4 linked regions of the Oryctolagus cuniculus genome follow. The protein of the gene in region 4 binds, or shares a complex with, the protein of the main gene of each other region. Links are inferred from orthologs where the notes say so. Each region holds a gene or a part of one and is shown on either strand. Other genes may lie near its edges.

The links.
Region 1: the proteins of MAPK10 (region 4) and SH3BP5 are in contact, whole or in part, in a crystal structure (PDB 4H3B), measured with the Homo sapiens proteins. The link is inferred for Oryctolagus cuniculus from reciprocal best matches to the Homo sapiens genes MAPK10 and SH3BP5. Residues at the interface, in NP_620448.1 of Homo sapiens: Lys121, Asp150, Ala151, Gln155, Val156, Met159, Leu161, Glu164, Arg165, Tyr168, Tyr171, Val197, Lys198, Ser199, Asp200, Cys201, Trp362, Asp364, Glu367; in NP_004835.2 of Homo sapiens: Val341, Val342, Arg343, Pro344, Gly345, Ser346, Leu347, Asp348, Leu349, Pro350.
Region 2: the proteins of MAPK10 (region 4) and ATF2 are in contact, whole or in part, in a crystal structure (PDB 4H36), measured with the Homo sapiens proteins. The link is inferred for Oryctolagus cuniculus from reciprocal best matches to the Homo sapiens genes MAPK10 and ATF2. Residues at the interface, in NP_620448.1 of Homo sapiens: Asp150, Ala151, Gln155, Met159, Glu164, Arg165, Tyr168, Val197, Lys198, Ser199, Asp200, Cys201, Trp362, Glu367; in NP_001243019.1 of Homo sapiens: Lys48, His49, Met51, Thr52, Leu53, Lys54, Phe55.
Region 3: the proteins of MAPK10 (region 4) and MAPK8IP1 are in contact, whole or in part, in a crystal structure (PDB 3PTG), measured with the Homo sapiens proteins. The link is inferred for Oryctolagus cuniculus from reciprocal best matches to the Homo sapiens genes MAPK10 and MAPK8IP1. Residues at the interface, in NP_620448.1 of Homo sapiens: Asp150, Ala151, Gln155, Val156, Met159, Leu161, Glu164, Arg165, Tyr168, Leu169, Tyr171, Val197, Lys198, Ser199, Asp200, Cys201, Trp362, Asp364, Glu367; in NP_005447.1 of Homo sapiens: Pro158, Lys159, Arg160, Pro161, Thr162, Thr163, Leu164, Asn165, Leu166.

What each region holds. Positions count from the first base shown.
Region 1 is NC_091435.1:150,921,283-150,925,862, forward strand, and holds the end of SH3BP5 (SH3 domain-binding protein 5), read right to left. Parts: intron 4,356-4,580; coding exon 4,136-4,355; intron 3,073-4,135; coding exon 2,812-3,072; intron 2,518-2,811; coding exon 2,297-2,517; 3' UTR 1,156-2,296; downstream 1-1,155. UniProt on the Homo sapiens protein: Functions as a guanine nucleotide exchange factor (GEF) with specificity for RAB11A and RAB25. Inhibits the auto- and transphosphorylation activity of BTK. Plays a negative regulatory role in BTK-related cytoplasmic signaling in B-cells.
Region 2 is NC_091434.1:65,972,033-65,977,920, reverse strand, and holds the start of ATF2 (cyclic AMP-dependent transcription factor ATF-2), read right to left. Parts: upstream 3,315-5,888; 5' UTR 3,264-3,314; exon of another isoform or gene 3,033-3,263; intron 2,894-3,032; exon of another isoform or gene 2,808-2,893; intron 1-2,807. UniProt on the Homo sapiens protein: Transcriptional activator which regulates the transcription of various genes, including those involved in anti-apoptosis, cell growth, and DNA damage response.
Region 3 is NC_091432.1:20,070,967-20,076,141, forward strand, and holds part of MAPK8IP1 (C-Jun-amino-terminal kinase-interacting protein 1), read right to left. Parts: intron 3,563-5,175; exon of another isoform or gene 3,166-3,562; coding exon of another isoform or gene 3,095-3,165; intron 2,080-3,094; coding exon 1,974-2,079; intron 275-1,973; coding exon 1-274. UniProt on the Homo sapiens protein: The JNK-interacting protein (JIP) group of scaffold proteins selectively mediates JNK signaling by aggregating specific components of the MAPK cascade to form a functional JNK signaling module. Required for JNK activation in response to excitotoxic stress.
Region 4 is NC_091439.1:81,337,157-81,342,331, forward strand, and holds part of MAPK10 (mitogen-activated protein kinase 10), read right to left. Parts: intron 3,324-5,175; coding exon 3,141-3,323; intron 1-3,140. UniProt on the Homo sapiens protein: Serine/threonine-protein kinase involved in various processes such as neuronal proliferation, differentiation, migration and programmed cell death.

The sequences.
Region 1 (4,580 bases), on a different chromosome or scaffold from region 4:
GCGCCCAAATCCAGGACACTACCTTGATGACGTAAGGCTTTAGTCTTCCAAACTCTGCCGGAAGGACTCAGAGTTTCGTTCTGAATCATTAGTGAAATATTCTGGGGCCAGTGCTGTGGTGCTGCGGATTAACGCCGTGGCCTGAAGCGCTGGCATCCCATATGGGTGCTGGTTCTAGTCCCAGCTGCTCCTCTTCTGATCCAGCTCTCTGCTATGGCCTGAGAAAGCAGAATAAGATGGCCTCAGTCCTTGGGCCCCTGCACCCGCGTGGGAGACCTGGAGGAAGCTCTTGGCTTCAGATCAGCATAGTTCCAGCTGTTGCAGCCAATTGGGGAGTAAACCAGCGAATGGAAGATAGCTCGCTCGCTCTCCCCCTCTCCCCGCTCTGTGTGACTCTTTCAAATAAATAAAATCTTTAAAAAATACTATAAAAAGTTAGTGAAATGTATTTTTGTGGTTTCTGTGTATTTACAAGAGAAATCTGCCACCCACACACAGGTGGAGGAGCTGCAAACCCTCCTAGTGTGGCTGCTCTTCTGGAAGGGAGAAAGTGAAACAATGTTTCAACTGCGGGGAGCAGTTTTTCTGACAGTAATTCAGGAAGGGGTCTGGGAATTCACAGTGCAAGGGGGTTTCATGAGAACTGAGTAGCTGTTTTATTTGTAAATCTAGTGGAAGGGCCTTCTGGGAGCTTTTCTGTAGGACAGGAAATATTAACTAGGAAAAAAGTATTTCTCGTTCACAGTGCAAAGGGTTATGAGCTTTCCTGAAACCACGCACTCTGTCCCCCACAGCAGACTTCAGCGTGTAGCACACTGACACGGGGACATCTCCATGAGACACAGGGCCCAAGATGACCATCGGACTCCCAGACCTGAGTTTTCCTCCAGGTCCGAAGCCCACGTGCGCCCCAACTCCCAGGTAGCAGCCTCTTGGGGTGAGGAGGCAGCGCACAGCTCCGGCGCTTGCCAGCTTCCCTTCATCCCCGCCCGCTGCCTGCTCGCCGCTCACCGCAGCAGCGGAAGGGGAACCGGGTCCCTGCTGTCAGGATTCCCGACCAGGAGTGACAAATGAGAACAGGTGGCCACCACCTTCATGCCCCACCCTGCGCCAAGAACACTGGGATTTTCTTAACTGAAGTCGCCAAACACAAGGTTTCTTAAGCCGTTTTTATTACACTCAAGGTATAAGACAAGTACAAAATAATCTTGTAAGTAGGATATTGTATCAGTGAATAAAAAAGGAGAAATCACGCAGTATGAAGAGCTTTGCAAACGCCTAAGATGCAGACGCTGCGACGTAACACACAGCCTGAAAGGGAGAGGCTGCTTTTCCCCTCGTTCAGAAATGCTGGATTTCCCGAAACAAAACAGGGCCAAAATAAAATAAAATAAAATAGGGTGCTCTAAGTATGCGTAACCAAGAGAGGAAGAAAGATAAAGCGGTCTTAACACTACTATTAGCATACCAGACGCCACTGCTCCTGTTTGACAGCCTTTGCCAACACATGCCTACTCCCTTCCCTTTCAGGAACAGCTTCCTCTAAGGAACTCTAGTGCTGCAAACCCCTTAAATAATTTCCTTACGTTACAACCTACAGAGAAAGGAACACTGGTCAGTCTTGGAGAACAGTGGAAGCCATTCCTCACATGCACTTCTCGTCGAAGATCGGCTGGCTGGCAGGGTGAGGTCTCTGCTGTGGAACCTTCCCTCCTATTCTATGAAACGCCCCTTCCGTCCGCAGCCCCCCGCCCCCGCCCTGGCACTCATCCATCCCACCCCCAAAAGTGCAATTCCCGGTGACTTTTTTCTGCGGCCTCTGAACGCCATAGGAAGTGGATGACAGCAAACTCCGTTCTCGGTTTCTTGAAGCCTTCACTGGGTCAAAACGGTGCTCGGAACACCCTGAAAAGGGTGTCTGCTGGGGGAGGCAGTGGGGATGGGGAGGGGGCCTGGGGAATGAGGGAGGGAACACCTCCTTCCTCCCAGCCAGCCTGAGGGGCAGGTGCACGCCGGGCCTGGCTCCGCAGCTCTCCCAGGAACGCGGTACTGCTTCCACAGCGCCGGCACACAGGCCGCTGCGAGCCGGGCCCAGTCCACCCGCCACAGCAGCTCTGCTCCGAAACACCAGCCAGCTCAGGGGTCTTACCAGAACAATCTGCAGCCCCCAAGGTCGCTGAGACCTCATTAGTTCAGTTCAAAGTAAATGCTTAAGATTTGGCATAGAGTGAACAACTATTGGCACGGTGCTCTCCAGTTTCCTGTATAAATAGTATTCACAGGGCCACGGGCCGGGTCAGCCGATCTGCACCACGTTTATGTCGGCAATGAGCCCCTCTCTTCCCTTGGAGCACTGGAGGGAGAGCTGCTGCACCCGGCTCTCCAGGGCCTGGCCCTCCAGGGACACGCTGCTCGGGCCCTTCCGGCAGCCGCCGCCGCCGCCGCCGCCGCTGCTGAGACCCCGGCTGTGGCTGGCTTTGTCACTTGTCTTATTTTCTGCCCCTTCCGCCCTGTCTCCTGGGGAGATAGAGAGAGCTCAAGTGAGTAGATGGGCAGGGGCCAGGAGGCCCACTCAACCCGCGGGGCTCCAGGGGCTGCCCACTGCACAGAAAGGGCGGCTCCCACACTCGAGCCCTGGAGAGCACAGGGCCTGGGCTCTGGCAGGAGCCCCCTGGGGAGCACGGCAAAGGCGCACCCGGGGCCCAGGCGCCTGGCACTGGGGGGACCCTGAGACCCAGCCGAGGGGTGGAAGGGTACAGAGTGGCCTGCCACAGCGCGAGGCTCCATGGACAGGGCAAGGCTGCAACTCACCTCGTTCCACCTCGCACTCGGGGGAGGAGGCCCCGCTGCACTCACTGCGGGGGCCCAGCACTGGGAACATCAGCCCGAACTCCGACAGGGACACGGGGCTGGGCAGGTCCAGGCTGCCGGGCCTCGCCACCGCAGGGAACGGCTCGGCTGTCTCCGACGGGCTCGTGGGTCCGGAGCTGAAGCTGGACACCGACTGCGTTTCTGAGTCATCTTCAGACACGAAGTTGCTGCAGGTGTCGTCTTCAAAGGCCTCCGAGGCCACTGGGGCGAGGGGACAGTCAGTCACACGGGTGCTGACGGTCACCTGCCCCTTCGACTTCCCCTCCCAGGGTGCCCTGCTTCAGACACAGCGCAGGGAACACACTGCGGCCCTGCCAAGCCTCTCCGCAGCCGGAGCCCTGACATGAGGTCCTCGCGATACCCGTAACCCTGCCCTCCACCTGGAAGAGCAATCAGCGGCAGAGCGGCCCTCTTGTCCACCTGTGTCCCTGAGACACACAGCTGCACAGGAAGGGGTCTGGCCCCGCCCACGCCAGGCTGGCCAGCTCCCCTCTGGCCCTACAGGAAAAGCAAGAGCCACTGGAAGACTTGGCCCTGCGGAGCCTGCAGCTGGGGGTCTTTGTTAGCCCCCGCTAACTCCTGAGCTCCGCAAACATGCACTCAGTGCCTACCTGGGTCCCTGTTTGCTCCCTCCGCAGGGCTCTGGAGCTCCGCCTGCCCTGGGGACCAGGACCATCGAGGCCCAGAGGCAGGGCCCTGGCCTCGTCTCCAAGTCTCCTGGAGCCCGCACACAGCCCATGTGTTACTAGGTCTTTCCTCCTCCCTCGCCTTTAGAAACAGCCTGGCAGCTCCCACAGAGAATTACTCCAAATGACAAGGGCTTCAGGAACGTTGGGGACACAAAACAGGCTCAGACCTCAATCCAAACCCCAACTCCACACCTTGCTGAGTGGTAACCTAACTTCTCTGGGCTCCAGCTTTCTCTCCGTGGAGGATTAATGAGCGGTAATTCACACACAGTCGCTGCTTAGATGATGGTTCCCTTTTCCCTGAGAACTAAAGAAGTCCTGGGGAAGCGCCCATGGGCCTTGTAGCACAGAAAAGAGGGGTGCAGGCCAGTGCCGGAGGGGTCTCCTGATTCACCATGAGAAGCCAGGTCAGATCTGTTGGGTCCCTGCCTGCCACGCGGGAGACCAGTCTGGGATGACTTCCAGACTCACGGGACCCCAGCATCCTGGGAAGCCGTAGCCTGCTGAGCTCTGAGACCCTCCGTGCCGGCCACAGAGGATGGGGACCTGGGAGCGCACCGCACGGCCCGACTCACCAGAGACGGCGTCCGGCTCTGGTTTGCTCCCCGCCAGGCCCTCCGCAGCCACGCTGCTGCCCTCCGCGCCAACGCCACAGCCGCGGGGCCCCATGGTGCTGGAGCGCCGCCGCTCGTGGATCTCGTCGGAGATCATCTCCAGGTTCTTCAGGGCCGTCTTGTACTCGCCTTTTGCCAGGCTCAGCTTGGCCTGCAGCTCGTCCACCGCCGCCTTCAGCAGCTGCACAGGAAGGGAGAGGCTCGGTGAGTGAGGGCGCCCCCTGCTGACCTCGAGCTGCACAGGTGACAGGTGCAAGCACACGGCCCCTGCCCATCACTTTGGGGATTGCCAACACACGAGGGAGGAAAGACCTGATTCCTCCCATCAGCCCCCCGACTCCCACCAGGGGACAGGCTCCAACAGCCCAAAGCCCACCCCAGCAGGGAACAACAGTCTGGCCGTCCT
Region 2 (5,888 bases), on a different chromosome or scaffold from region 4:
GGAGTGGGACTTGAACTTAGGCAGTCTGATATGTGATATGGGTGTCCTAAGCAGTGTCTTAACACTAGGCTAAATGCCCATCTCCAAAATAAAAAATTTAAGTAGAAGCGTAGATGACTTCTTCTAGTTAATGCTAATTAAAGATAGTAGATGTTTGATGGACAACACATCTCTTCAATTTTTTACTTATTTGACAGTCAAAGAGACAGAAAACACTCCCATCCACTGGTTCACTCTCCAAATGCCCACAGTGGCCAGTGGTAGGGAGGGTCAGGAAGGAATAACACCAGGATCCAGGAACTCAATACAGGTCTCCCATTTGGGTGACAGGACCCAACAACTTCATCCTTCACTGCTGTCTCCTAAGGTCCACATCTGCACAAAGCTATAACATGGAGCTGGAGCTGGAGCAGGCAATGGAACCCAAGTAGTGTGATGTGAGATATGGACATCCTAACCGGTATCTTAACTGCCAGGCCAAATGCCCAATCTAGCATATCATTTTAAAAAAATACTCATTTAACTTCCAAATCCTGAATACCAATGAAAAGTACTCCCTCAATTTTTTGTGAAGGAGTTGCAGTAATAACTATTTCTACAGTTTAGTTAAAAAATAAAGATGGGGGCCAGCGCAGCAGTATAATGGGTCAAGCTGCCGCCTGCAATGCTGACATCCCACGTGGGTGCTGGTTCAAGAGCTGGCTGCTTAATTTCAATCCAGCTCCCTGCTAACATGCCTGGGAAAGTATGCAATAATGGCTCAAGTGCTTGGGCCCTTGCACCCACATGGGTGACTTGGAAGAAGCTCCTGAATCCTGGTTTCAGCCTTGCCCAGCACTGAGCTGTTATGGCCATTTGGGGAGTGAACCAGTGGATAGAAGATCTCTCTCCCTCTCTGTCTCTTCCTTTCTCTGAGTAACTCTGTCAAATAAATAAATAGATATTTTTAAAACATTAATAAAAAATAAAGATCTAACCTACTGGTTAAGATGCCATTGTCCCATATACAGGGGTTCCCAGTACCCAGGTTTGATAACTGGCTCCAGCTTCTGTTTCCAATTGATGTAAACCCCAGAAATCAGAAGTGATGGCTCAAGTAGTTGGGTCCCTGCTACCCACATGGAATACTTGGACTGAGTTCCTGTCTCTTGGCTTCTGCCTGGCCCAGTCCCAGAGGTTGTAGGCATTTGAGGAGACAACAAGCAGGTGGGAGTTCTGTCTCTCTAACAAACTTCAAAACAAATTTAATGAAAGAAACCAAAATCCCACATAAAAAAGTTAATGAAGGAATTTCTGCAATGTTTTTGATAGTACAGTGCCCCAAATACAAAACCAACATTCTAATAAGGTATTTGAAAAAGAGTTTACATGAAATTCTACCAGATCTACATAGGCATTACGTACCTTAAACACACAGAAAAAAAAAAGTCCCTGAAAACTCCAGACAATTAAAATTTTAAAAACTTAAGTTCTAAACTACACATATACATTTCAATTTAAAAAAAAAAAACAGCAGCAACATCCTCTCAAGTCAAGATTAAACATGTCTTAGGAAGGCAGCATAAATATCACTGTAGATGTGGAAGATTCTTGCAAATTATTTTACAAAGACCAGCATTCTCAACTATTGACCTTAAAGATCCATGAGCTTTGTTAAGTCTTTTTGACTTGCAGAAGGGTGTAGTGTATTTTTTTTAACATACTTTACAGAAAGTTCCCATCATTTTGATAAAAGTGTTTACAGTCGATTCTTTAAACCAATGAAACAAACTGTGTTTCTAGTTCAGAGTTCTTTTGACAAGGCTTTATAAACAAAGTCTTACCTTCATAATTTCGGTACAACAGATCTGGGCTACTTGGCTATTGAACATTATGCCTAATATGGTTATTACTGACACTGGCAATGCCAGTGGTTACGAATTTCTTCAAGTAAGAAGTGTGCTCAGAGAAGCAGTTTTTGTTCTGATTTCAAATATATGCATTAAGTATATACATGGTGACTGCCTCCATAATTCATAACTTTCACATTATAATTTAGGATTAGTCAATAGCCCTGAGGTCCATCAGGGGTAATTTATTTTGCTCCACCGTATTCGAGGTAATTTTATACTACCTGGGAGTACAAGTCGTCCCCTGCCCCTCCTCCTCAGTCCTCCTCCTAGCTTCTGATCTAGGAACCAGCATACAACACACACACATACACACACACACACACACATATACACCTCGTCCTCTCTCAGTCCTAGACCCTAGGGTACCGATTTAAAAAAAAAAAAAAATCCCCATAGAAGATCTGTAGTCCACCCAGGGAAGCAAACGAAGAGGGAAAATACCAGAATCAGTCTGCACCCACACCTTGGCCCCGCCCCACCTGGAAAAACTGGGGGGTGGCGGGAATGTGAGGGTGGCAGAAAGGACAGAAAGGGCCGCGACTCCAGGCTCCCAGGCTCTCGCCACCATTCATTTCGTCAGGTTCCGCCGAAGGCAGGGACCCTGACCCTATTTTCAGCCTCGCCTCGCGATCCTCCTCCCCGCCACCATCACAAACCCACGGTCCTCAACCGCAAGAGTCCTGCGTGGAGAGAGACCATAGTGGGCCCTGCTCCTGCCCAATCCAAGGGCTGAGACGGGGGTGTCTCCCCCCGCCCCGCGCACTCGGCGGGCCCGACGCCCCGGGGGCCCCGGAACCGACCAGGGAAAGGGAGGCAAGATCGGAGGGAGGGGTCTAAGGGGAGCCGTTATCCCTTTTTCCTCTTCGTTAGGAAAGCGCGCGAGAGGGAGGGGCCGGAACAACGAACGCCAGTTACCTAACGGTCCGGCCCGGCCGGTCAGGCTCCCGACGCGGAAGCCGCGCGCGCCGCTGAGATGGCAGCACAGCCTCGCTCGCCCCCAGGGCTAGGGACCACGGCAGGAGCGCCAGGGGTGATGAGGCGGGGGATGGGGACTATGGTGAGCGACGTCGCCATGTTAGCGCCTTCTTTCTCTTTCCCTACGGTCGCCAGCCCTGCGGCCCTCTCCCCATCACTACTCACCTTTGCAGGTCACTGGCTCATGATCCTTTCGGTCGCCCAGGAGCCCGAGGACAGCCGTGTTTACAAACTACCCCGGAGGAAAGGGCTGAACCGCACTTTAAAGGCCACGGGCTCCCACAGGCTTCCGTCCTCTCTCGCGAGATCAGACTGACAACCCTTCTCTCCGCCCCACTCCCAGCATCCCCCCTTTCTTCTCGCGTCCCGGCCCGCCACGCACACGCCCCTTCTTGCCTTCCTTCTGAGGGAGCGCCTCCGGGTCAGGTGATTCCGTCAAGCTTAAGGAAATGGGCGGGCCCTCAGGAGGGCGGGGACGGAGGGGGCGGGAACAAAAGAACACCCGGGCGCAGATGATTGGAGAAGGAGCCTGAAGGGCGGGAAGCAGTTCTGGAAGGGGCGGGATCAGAGAACCCAAGGAGCGTCGTCTCGGTAACCCTGGAGCTGCGGAAGGCTGTGATTGGCAGCCAGCTGGAGGCGGGCGCGGGTGCTGGGGCGCCGGAGCAGGTGGCTGTGTAGGGCGCGGGAGGGTGTCGGGCTTGGCTTGTGAGACACGGCGAGTGGCTGGAAAGAAAGCAGGACGCGTTCTCCGAGCCCAGCTCTGAGATCTCACCCTATTTCCGTTGCTGTCACTTCCTGGCCCCGGTAGGGAGGTGGGAAAATCGAGGGGAGGGGAGCCTCTAGCCCACCTCCCAGCTACCCGGAAGACTGGGAGGGGGAGCTTCGGTTCGGCTGAGATTTGGGAGAGGCGGAGTTTGCCGATAATCAAGCAAGAGAAGTGGGTTCTGAAACGAAAAGAAAAAGCCTTTACCTTGGATGAGTTTTCTTTGAATTTACTAAGCTATAACTGGAACTGGGTTTTCGGAGTTCTTTTTCCCAGCACCTAGTACAGTGTAGGATATTAGCATGTAATTTTGTTTGAAGTAATTTACCAAAATACACTGTATTTCCAGTATATCACCATCATTTAAAAACTAAGCAACGACTTGTTTCTAAGAGCAAAGCCTCCATATTAAGTGTATTCTATTTTATTATTTTTCCTTTTACAGATAAAAATATATCAATTTTAATAGAGCTGACTTTAGCCCTTTAAAACTGCAACAACCCCCTATTAACGTTTCCTAGAGGACCAAAAAACACCAAATTAGAGTATGACATGGAAATAGCACCCTTCTTTGTTTCTCTGCCTCTTACATAAGTAATAAGACAACTACATACCACATTGGAGTACGTGGTTTGCTTCCTGCTAATGGACCCTTAGTGACAACAGTGATGGCTTAAAATCAGGTTCCTGAGCGCACATGGGAGACCTGGATTGGGTTCCCAGCTCTTCCTGTGGTCCTGGCCCAGCCCCAGGCATTGCAGGCATCTGAGCAGTGAACCAGTCTATCAAATAAATAATGAAAAATTTAAAAAGCAAGCAGTTCCTGCTTGTCTGTAGCTAAATATAACCCAGAATACTATACACTAGGGTATCTCCTATGTCTGCATAACTCCTATGTCTTGCCTAACTAATCTGTGGCTGAGGGAGAGAACCTCTGGATTTTCATGGTATCCTGAAGATGTAGCCTAATACAAGGGATTAATTGGGATTTTACTAGTGGGATCAAGAGGTAGGGAGTTAGAGGTGTGTGTGTGTGTGTGTGTGTGTGTGTGTGTAGTGAAATAGCAGGGGGAAGCAAGGCATAAATAACCCCCTGAATCTGAGATGAGATGAGGCAGCATGGACCTAGACAGTTTAGTTGATTTGTTTCGTAGCTTTCATCTCATGGCAGATCTTTCTTGACCCACTCTTGACAGCCCAGGGTTTTCCTGAACATTCCTGACATGGCCCATGTTAAAGTTACCTCCTCAGCACATGTCCACTTAGAAATTTCTACTTAGGACATTTCAAGTGCAGAGATGTCCAATCCAAATCCTTGGGTTATCAGAAAAATGTATAGTCAATTGTGTCACTGTGGGAAAAAAATTAGAGAGCTGTACTCACCTTCAAATCATACCCATGAGCTATGCCAGCTTCAGTGCAACCAGCCCAGAGAGGGAGAACAGAATTTAAGATGGCTTTTTCTTTAGCTCTCATCTGACTCTATAGAAAGAGGGATCACCTTCATTATATTCTGCTCTCCCCACACTTCCAAGGTATCAGTAAAAGTGGGTGAAACCCTCCCTAGTGTAGAGTTGTGTAGCATCCGAGTATCTACCCTTTGTGGCTCCCAGTAACCAGTCTATTTGTCAAGTTGAGGCCTACATAATGACAAAGCCATGGATTCCTTATGCCAGAAACCAAGACAGGTCTGTCTGGTCCTGTGGTTCCTCCTGGGTCCTTGGAACTAACACCCTGTTCTTTCCAATTACCTTCTTCCCTTGCATACAGCCTCTTAGGTCAACTGTCAACTGACTTCTCAGTGTCTGTGCTCATAAAGCATCTGTATATATTGGCATGAACATGCCATGCACTGTTCCTGGCTGTGAGGCTGCCACTATAAATAAGATGAAGTCCCTTAAGGAGACTTTGTGGCGTGAGGAGGGATGAGGAGGCACATGACATACATCAACAAAAAGATAATTTAATAGTGGTTAAGTACCACGGAGAAAATAGGGTATGATAACAGGGAGTACTGAAAGCTATGTTGTTTGACAAAAAGAGAACTTGAGAGTAACAGATACTGTAGAGAGGTCTAGTGAGGGGGGCAGTTCTGTGAGCTGTTCCCAGAAAATACTGCTGTTTCCAGCATCTGAGACTCGGTCAACCTATGTAGCTATTTGAGGAGGCAAACCCTGGGACTCAACTATAACAGGAGATCCTGGAATCCCCGTGGCTGGGAAGTGCTGACTAAAAGCTATTGTAGAAAAGCAGCCACT
Region 3 (5,175 bases), on a different chromosome or scaffold from region 4:
TGAGCGTGGTGGGCCGCTTGGGGCGGTATGTGTCCCCGCTGCCTGGGCCCTGGCTCTGGCCCTGGCCGCGGGACGCCGGTCCCTGACCGGGCTCGGCCTCGGGCGGCCCCGCTCCCGGACGCCGCGCCGCGCGCTCTTCGTCGTCCTCCTCGTCGTCCTCGGCGCCGGGAGTGTCCCCGGTCGCGTCGATCAGATCCATCTGCAGCATCTCGGCCTGCAGCCGGCTCCCCGCGCTGCCGCCGCCGCCCGCAGAGAGCAGCCCGGCGCGCGGGGGCTGCGCGGCGCGGACGGAGGGGCGTCAGGGGGCGGGGCCGCGCCGGGTGGGGCGGGGCCGAGGCCGCCGCGCACCGCCCCCTGCCCGGACGAATCCATTGCGCGGCCACGAAGCGGGGGGCGGAGAGCAGCGGCAGGGAAGAGAGGGGGCTCCGGGCCGCCCCTGCGGGAAGCGCACGGCCGCCCCTCCCCGCCCGATCGCCCCCTTTGCAGAACACCACCCTCTCCCCTCCCCGCGGACCCCCCTTCCGGCTCCTTGCACCCTCCCGTTCCCTTGGCAACGGCCGATGACCTCACCCGGGCTGTAAGCAGCTCCCAGAATGAAGTCACCGCTGTTGCCATGGAGACGTGGGGTCGCCCGAGGAGCTGGGCCCCCGCAAGAGATTGGGGAGAAGGGGGCGCACATTTGTATCTGAAGAAGTCTAGGAGGGACCCTGGGAAAACCGAGTCTCTGGCCAGGAGAGGAGGGCCGTACTGCGGACTGGAGTCCCTGGGAGCGCCGGAAGAGGGTCGCCGAGGCGGGGGACAGGGGCGGTCGGACCCCAGGGGCCCAGGCCTCTCCATGGGCAAGCTAGCCCTGCCTTCCTAGGGGACAGCCCCTCCCAGTTCCAGCTCTGCCACTGCCTGCCTGGCACCTTGGACAGATCCCCTGACCCTTCCATTCCTGGCAAGCGTGTCTGAGAGCCCCTGGGGCGCATCTAAGGCCACCGCCCCCGTCCCACAGCCAGTGCTCCCCCGGGGCCCCAGCTAAATGCAGGGCCCGCCCTCTCCAAGGCCCTGACGGTGCATGGTGGGGAGAGGGTGGCGTGAGACTCCAGACAGGTGCATGGCCTCGGAGGGAAGCTTCGTCAGGGCCCTGGGACCCCTCCCCAGGTCCACAGTAAGTGGTCTCTGTGTCCCTTCCTTCCTGACTTGGCCACAGGCTAGAGGGTTGCAGTAAGGACTGGAGGATTCCTCACCCCTTGTCTCTTGCCTGGAAGAGCTTACAGAACCTCCGCGGGTAGCAAGAGGTCTGCACAGAGACTGGTGCCTCTCCCGCGACCCTCATGGCAGCCCCCCACCCCAATACCACATCTGGCTTCCCGCCCTCCTGGGGGCGGAAGGAAGTGCAGGGCTCTCAAACCCAGCCCCGAGCTTGGCCCTCGTCCTGCGGGCTACCTGGCTCCTTCTTCCTGCTCTGCAAGACCGAGGCTGTTGAGTGCCTCCTGGCCGCGCCGGGAGACAGCCATCTTCCCTGTGCCAGGCCCAAAGGGCCCAAAGCATCAGCAATGCTGGGCCACGCCCTCCGTGAGGGCCTCGGCGTGGTACGGCGCACTGGCAGCCAGCAGCCATAGGAGTTCTTCCGGGTCATTCCTGGCGCCTCTGTCCTGTCCCCAAAGCACTGCAGAGTCCCAGACTCCACCCTTGCTCTGCCTGAGGCTCCCGGCCAGGAACGGCTCCCCAAGGGACTCTGGCCCTCCTGCCCCACTCCTGGATCTCAAGGCCTCCGGCTTCCTGCCTGAGCCCCTGGGGCAGAAAAATCAAATTCTGACTGCGCACCCAAGACGTGCCAAGCGCTGCACTGGGTGTTGCCTGCACACCGTTTCATGAGGGTGCCACCGGACCTGAAAGCCCCCTTTGTAGCCTGGGGGCCTCCCTCCCATCCCCACCCATCTGCCGCCCTACTCGGGGTCTCCGGGGAGCCAGGAGCCCGCCCTTACCCGGAAGGACAGGGTGTCTTTGCACTGCAGGCTGATGCCACACTCGTCAGTGATCTCTGAGAGGTCTTCATCCTCAAACTCCTCGAGGCTGATGTCGTGGGTGAGCCTGGGGGGGACAGGAAGCCAGAGTTACAACCCAGAGGGTCGGCCAGGCCTGCCAAAGGGCAGCCTCTAACAAACAGGCCGATCGTCGGCTCCGGAGGGTGGGACCCGGGGTCCAGCTGCTCCCATGTGGGAGGCGGTCACCAAGTAGGGACATGCCCAAAGGCAGTCCTCTAGGGCAGCTGTGGGGTGGGAGGCTCCGGGTCACTCCTGCTCCTCCCGGCTGGGAGCTGTGCACCTGCTGCCAACCCCCAGGTGGTGCCTAGAAGGCCCAGAGGTCAGAGCCTCAGCTCTGCCAGGGTCAAGGCAGGTGCCAAGACAAGGGCACCTGCAGAGAAGGCCAAGGCCACCTGGGGTAGGAAGGTCCCCACGCAATCCAAGGGGTAAGGAGTACGGAGACCCAAGGGGTCGGCAGGGGTGCAGCAGGCTCACAGGAGTGCTCCACGCCCCCAGCCCAGAGTGCCCATGACCGTGAGCCCTGAGAATGAGTGAATGGGAATCTGGCGTCCACTCCAGGAGAGGCTGTGCCTCCACCCTGTGTGCTTGGGCTCAACTCTTGCTTCCTCCGTGCCCAGGCTAAGGACCCAGAACAGGAACCTGCCCTGGTGGGGTCGAGAGAGGCTCCCGGCTGGGGCTGGAGGTGCCAGGAGCTCGGGTGCCACTTCGACACTGCAGCCTCACCTCCCACGGCCTGGGCCAGCTCCGTGCACCCACCCTGGAGAGCAGGGCTGGGCCTCCCACTGCGGGCCCTGCCTGTCCCTGCCCGGCTCCTCCCCAGCCCTGGTGTGGTGTGGGAAGTTGGAGAGAATGTCGGAGCCTTCCCCCCAGGTAACACCAGGAGGCAGGCGTAGGGCAAGGCAAACCCACTGGTCCAAGGTCACCCAGGAGAGGTAGCGGCCCAGCGCCCAGGGGAACATGGGAGGCCCACACCCCTGCCTCTCACCTCAATCAGACCAAACAGAGACCCTTAGCTCCACGGAGCTCCCCGCGACACCCGGCCCCACCCCCACACCCCCTACCAGCGCTCCCACTGGTCCTCCAACCAGCTGTCATTGTCGGGGCTCGAATCCATCTTCAGCACCAGCTGCATGGACAGCCCTGCCCGGCCGGGGGGCTGCGGGGCCCCAGGGCTGCCCTCTCATGCCCAGAAAGGGGGGGGGCGGCCGGGGCTCAAGGCAGGGCTAGGGCCGCCGGCCTCCACCGCCTGGGCCTGCCCCTCTGCCTCCTGCCCGCTGCAGAAGCCCAGGAGCTCATTAAAAATAAATGGGCAGGGAGAGGAGGCAGCAGCTGCCGACCCGGGCCCAGCCCCAGCCCTTCCCGGCCCAGCCCTCAGCCGCAGGCAGCCTCCCTCAGCCGGCCCATGGCGAAGCCGCAGCGGCCAAGGCTCTGTCGCCGCCTCTGCCGCGGGATCAGGTTACCGCGATCAATGCTACGGGCTCCACCTGCCCTTCCAATGCCCCTGTCCAGGGCCAGGGCCCCCCTCTCCGGCCCAGGCTGGTACACAGATGGCAGAAATCTGGGAAGTTTCCCCCTAAAACCCAGCCCCTGCTCTGTTTTAAAGGGCCAGCACCACATTCAGGGAGCCAGGTGGGAGATGGGGAGGCGCCCCGAAATCCCCGAGAACGGATACCCCAGCCTCACCCAGCATCACGGAGACTCTGTGGACGCAGGCAGGTCCCGACCTACCCCAGCCAGGCCTAGGGTTGCCTCTGGAGCCAGGAAGGAAGGGCCAAGGGGTACAGGGGACTCTGGAGGCAGAGATAGGAGCAGGCTGGTGCTGGGGCTCCTCGGAGCCCAGCTGGAGGGCTGCAGGGTGGTCACGAGCTCCCTGTCACCTTGCAGTGACATCAACAGAACCCGGAGGCCTCCGGACGGAGCCACACAGCAGGGGCTCTTTAAGGCCCCTTCTGACCGGCAGCCTAGGGGTGCTGGTTCCCAGGCCCCCCCCCACCCCGCAGTGTATGTGGAAGTAGGAAGGCCTGGTCCAGAAGCCAGAGTGGCCCCCAAGTCCAGCCAGGGCCCTGCAGCACCTCTGGACCTCGGATGAGAACCCCCAAATACAAAAGCAGCGAGCACACAGGGGCCCCGGACCCAGCCAGTGTCGCCCGGAGCCACAGGAGATGCCCCCTGCATACGTCAGCACATCCTCACGGCTGAGCCCTAGTCCAGGGCCTGCCTCTGCCCTCCCAGACCCCTCCAGGGCCTTCCCTGCCTCAGTCTCCCCAATCCTGTACCACCCCACCCACCACCATCAGGCAAAACTGCTGGAAACACCATCACCCATCTTGGCCCTGCTCAAAACCCTCCAAGGTGAGGCCGGTGTTGGGTGCGGCAGGTTAAGCCACCGCTTGCAACACCAGCTTCCTGCATTGGAGCACTGGTTCGAGTCCCAGCTGCACCGCCTCCGATCCAACTTCTTGCTATGGGAACCCAGCAGAAGATGGCCCCAAGTACTGGGGCCCCTGCCACCCACGTGGGGCATCGCATGCAGTTCCAGGCTCCTGGCTTTGGCCTGGCCCAGCCCCAGCTGTTGCTGTCATTTGGGGGAGTGAACCGACAGAAGGAAGCTCTCTGTTTCTCTGCCTTTCAAATGAATAAAACAAAAAACCCCACAGCCCTTGAAGGCGACCTGCTAGGGGCCGAATCCTGTGCCCGGCTTCTCTGGGCCCAGTGCTGCCCTGACCTCCGGTGGGAGCTTGGGGCAGGAGGGCTCAGACCAAACCCCGACTCACTGAGAAGCAGCTGCCGGCCCTAGCCTTCGACCCTTACTCCGTGCACCTTCACCTCAACCTTCACCATGATCTTGCGGGAGGGCTCTTTGCCACCCGTTAAGCAGATGAGGAACACCAAGGCTCAGACACGAGGGGCTCATCTCCGGCCTCAGCATCCCCCATACAGAGGGAGGCCACCCATCCCCCTGCCCACCAACCTCAGGGGGCAGGTGAGGAGGACCAGAAGGGACCACCAAGGACTGGGTGGGGGTGGGGGGAGCAATCAACCAAGGTGTCCCCTATGCAAGCCACAACCCTCCCCAGGACCCTGCTCCCTCCTCCCTCTTCTCCAAACACTGATGTCCCGGTGACCCAGCCTAAATCCTATC
Region 4 (5,175 bases):
AATCACTGAAATAATGATTTGATTAATGGCAAAAGCCATCCCAATGCCATGCCAGATACAGATAAAAAACTATTTTGTACCCATTGTCATTATTAAATTTATAGTTGTGGGCGATGTCAGTTATAAATTTATATATGATAATCAGTAAGTATATCTAATAACACCTTTAAAATCATTAATTTTTGATCTCTAACATTATATGTAGTTTTATAAAATATAATTTTAATAGGTAAAATAAATATATTAAACCGACATTATTATCCAATTGAGTTAAAAGTTTAAGTGAAAACACTTAGTTTGTTCCAAACACATTGTAAAACTTCAAAGTAAATATAAGATCTAAACTGATTTAAGAAAGTCAATATGTTTACATCCATTGACATATAACAATATTTATTTTTTTCCAAATTAAGGAAAAATGAGTAAATTGTACAAATATGAAAATTACATAAAACACAAAGAAATATTAATTATTTCCCTAGCTAAACAATCCATGTATATTGGCATATATTTTTCTAATGCTGTTCACATATTTTTCACATAATTTTAACTATTTTATTATTTTAATCTATTATTCACCTATTCTTTAATATATTTTCTGATAATTTTATATTTTAACAAATATAATTCTCAATATTATATTCTAATATGGAAAATCACTAGCTAAATTAGATGTAAAGAAATTTCATTTCTACTAACCATTATTGTTGGCAATAATCTTGGGATTTGATTATCATTACAGTCACTAAAACTGTGAGGCTCACAGAATGACCAAAATATAGAAATACTTGTATGTTAATTTTCAATATTTAATCTTCCTGATTGTCAATAACCCATCAAGGATTTATTTCTTTCATTGATTCATAGATCTCTGATTTCTAACTGATTTTCTCTACAGTCTTATGTATCCTACTCCCACAGATTCTCCCATAAAACCCATCAATGTTCCTGCTCTTAGAAAGGGGAGGGGCCAGAAAGGACTCCTCCTCAGTAGGGGCACGAAGTATCCCAATAGCAAGTCATCTCACTCAGAAATAGTGACCAACACCATTCAGAGGAAACAAATGACAGAAATGTTTCAATGCCTCTCATTCTTTTGTTGGCAAGCATTTTCCAAATATAATTGAACAAATCATTCCCTTTAATTATTTGTATATTCTTTATAACTTGTTACTTTTATATTAAAAATAAAACTAAATAATCATAAAAATGTAAAATAGTTTAGTATATAAAACACTAGTTTACAAAACTAAAATAACTGTAGAGGTTCAAACTGAGTTGAAAATAAACTATAGAAACTTGGAATTACATTATGAAGCATGATATTTGAGTTAAGAGTTTTTCTATAAGTGTTGGCATAACTATGTTATAATTAAATGAGGAGTTTGCTGGATCCATATTGTTTTTTGTTTTTCTTTTTTTTTGACAGGCAGAGTGGACAGTGAGAGAGAGAGACAGAGAGAAAGGTCTTCCTTTGCCGTTGGATCACCCTCCAATGGCCGCTGCGGCCAGCACACCGCGCTGATCCGAAGGCAGGAGCCAGGTGCTTCTCCTGGTCTCCCATGGGGTGCAGGGCCCAAGCACTTGGGCCATCCTCCACTGCACTCCCTGGCCACAGCAGAGAGCTGGCCTGAAGAGGGGCAACCGGGACAGAATCCGGCGCCCCGACCGGGACTAGAACCCGGTGTGCTGGCGCCGCTAGGTGGAGGATTAGCCTATTGAGCCGCCGCACCGGCCTTGAATCCCTATTGTTATTGCAAGTGTTTTTATAAGAAAGGATAACTTTTGGATAATATCTCAGTATTGTGAAGCCATAAATTCTAAAAGATCTCTATTTGAAGTATTAGGTCTTTTTCAAGCTGCATATAGGAAAAAGTTTATCTTAAAAAAAAAAAAAAAACAGATGTGGTAATAATTTAGTTCATTGCCATTAAGAGACCGTAGTGTCAACTGTAGTAGAAAATTCAATTATGTAATTTAAGCTACAAGAAAATAGAAACAAAGTTGCATATTTAAAACCCAGCAGGTAAAAGTTTAGAGGAGACAAAAAGATCCTAGAAAATAGTAGTACCACATTTTAGCTTTTCTGTCTTATTTTAGCCTAACTTAGCTATTTATTTAAATTTGTAAGTTAAATCTGTAGATAATTACACACTGAACATTTGCTTTTAAATTTCAAAGTATATATCCTCTTATTTTTAATAATTTGTAGATATATTGTTAAAATATTATATTACATATTATATTTAATAGGGATTGAGCGTTTGCCATCATCTAGGTATTATTCTAAGTGTTTGACAAGCTATTATGTCAATCAATCCTGTGAACAACCCTATATGGTAGGAACTGCATACCTTCATTTGTTAAAAGAAGTGAGGGTCAGGAAACTTGCCCAGAGTCCCACATATTTTAAGGAATAAAGGCATAATTTAAACCAGGCAGGGGAATAAAATATGATTCTTTCAAAATCATATTCTCAGGAGTATCTAAAGTATAAGAATTAGAATATTTCTGTATTATACTCCAGCTGCTGTTAAATTTATTCCTGGTCTGCAAATGAAACTGCAACATTCTTAGATCCATTTTGTGTGTGAAGGTGTGGATCAAGATTTGTTGTCCAATTAGATAACTGCTGACACAGTAGGAAAAAAATCACTAATAAAACTGTTTATATTGAATAAAAATGTACAGTTGAAATCTCAATTACTACTCTAAACTGAAAAAAATAGAGGGTAAGCACTATACAAAACACAACAAAAGAAAATCAGACATCTGCCTCTAAGGTTTCATAACTAATAACTATTTTGAAAATCTTTCCCAGATAATAAAAAGTAAGAACATTGATTTCAATATATATTGATCACATAGAGTTACACTTGAGATACTAAATTTAAGATTTTAAATACACCAGGAAATAGTTAACACACAGCACTGGGACATATTTTATTCTTATTTTTCCCTCTGAATATCCCAACAATTCTAAAGTTCTTGGCTACAACCCAACCCTTTGTAAGAAGATATTTTAGGAAATGACTCTCCCTAATGTGAGCATAGTTCTAGCTGAAGAAAAGTCTTCATATCAACAGGCTTGCTTAGCTGGTCACTCCCACAGCGGCCCTCTGCCACCCAGACCGGCATACCTTTGAGCTTATTGTGCTCGGAGTCTGCTGGGAAGAGGGAATCTGGAAAGAGCTTGGGGAAGGTGAGTCCCGCATACTTGGGCCGGTTCTCCACATAGTTTCTTACTGTAGGCTGCAATTTCTTCATGAATTCTGGACACGGCGTTCCTAGTTGCTCAATGACTTTGTTCCACTGGTCGATATCTGAGAATTGAATAGTTAAGGGAAAACAGAAGTGCAGACCACTAGCTCATGCTTTCCAATAATAAGAGGCTAACTCTTCAGAATCCTGGGCAGCCATCAGTACAATTGGGATTTTAATAAAGCAAAAAGAGACAAAACTGTGAAACAGAATTGTCAGGGCAATGCATCCTCCCTAGATTTCAAATTCTGTTTTCGAACTCAGAAGTTTTCAGGGAGCTAATATTATTTAACAAAACAGGATACCATGAAACAATCTTTGATTGGTAAAGCTAACATGTTATTTAAATAACACAAGAAGAATCTCTTACAAAAGGATAAACACCAATATAATCATGTGATTTAGAAAAAATATATAATCCCATGATAGTGACATTTTATCTCCTGAAGATACTTCAGTCACTTATACATTTAAAATGGCAAGTACACATCTATTAAAAATGATAATCATTTATTGTCTTCCTAGATTATTTTTGAGAATATTTTCTCTTCTCCAAAACCCAAGAAATTTATCATCTGTTAATGAGTTCTGCTCATATGCCTTACACATGGGGTCAATAAATTTTTTTTATAGTAAAAGAACTCATTAATTCTTCATCAAAGATTTAGAAATTTATACTATTCATACAAGGAAGTCACCATTGCATACCTACTGTTCTTACTTCTGAATATGTTTCCAATCACATATGAGGGTAGACAGAGAGGTGCTTCATTTAAGAGAGCGACTTCCACCCAAAGACATCCAAATTCAGAGAGTATGGTAACTATGAGGAATTCTATATGAAACATGCCAGCTCTCTGTGAAAAATTACACCCTCAAAAATTAGAGGGTAAATGTTGACAGACATACCCACTGATTGAGATTCTATTTTTTACGCCTCATTAATAGTTCATGTACCAGAGCATCGAAAATAAGAAACACTGCCCCTGAATACTTTGAAGGACCAGCTGGAAGCTATTGATTTTAGACAGATTACCTTGTCATGTATCATGAATGACAGAGACCTTGGAAATTCTTTTTAAATCAATATCACAAGGAGTGTTCTCTACTACATTTTTATTCTTTATGCTTTAACATTAAGCTGATTAATTTAATGCGATATATGATAGCTTCAGGACCCTTACCCTAAGATTACTAATTGTGGTTTGTAAAGTCTTTACTCATAGCTATTCGAGTGAGTTAGACTATAAAAGATTAGCAACCTTATTGAAAAGACAAAATTAACTACATTCAACAAAAACTAATATATAATGCAAAGACAGTATGTAGGAGATTGAGCAAACATAAAATCAAGTTAATTTGCAAATCCTCTTCTACCTCCATTATATGGGCTGAATAAAATTTATATTAGTACATATCCTCTCAGTTTCTGGCTTGAAAAATACCTTTGACTATGGACTATCAAAAAATAAAATGGGGGAGGTAAAAACTGAAGAACAGTCCTTTATAAAAAAGTAGAGATAAGGAAACCAGAATATCCTTCAATAAAAGTTTATCTAAATTACTATGTGATTAGAAAATAGTAGATCAGAATCAATACAGATAAAGAAACTAAAACATTATGTAGAGTTAGAGTTACAGTTACCCTTGGACAAAAAACTCATATTGATACTATGGATACAGGTAAGTTATAACTACTTAGATATATTTAAATAGAATGCATTAGTGTAGTTAAATAAAACTCAAGTGCCTGTCATTCAAATTATGAAAAGAGAGCTCTTCTCTATTACTGTTAGGTTACCATGCCCTACCAAACCATTGTCTAACCACTGGTCAAACTTCCTCAGAATTCTAAAGACTTGATGACAAATTTAGATTGGAGAAAAGGAGTTGTCAGGTTTTCTATGAGGAAGT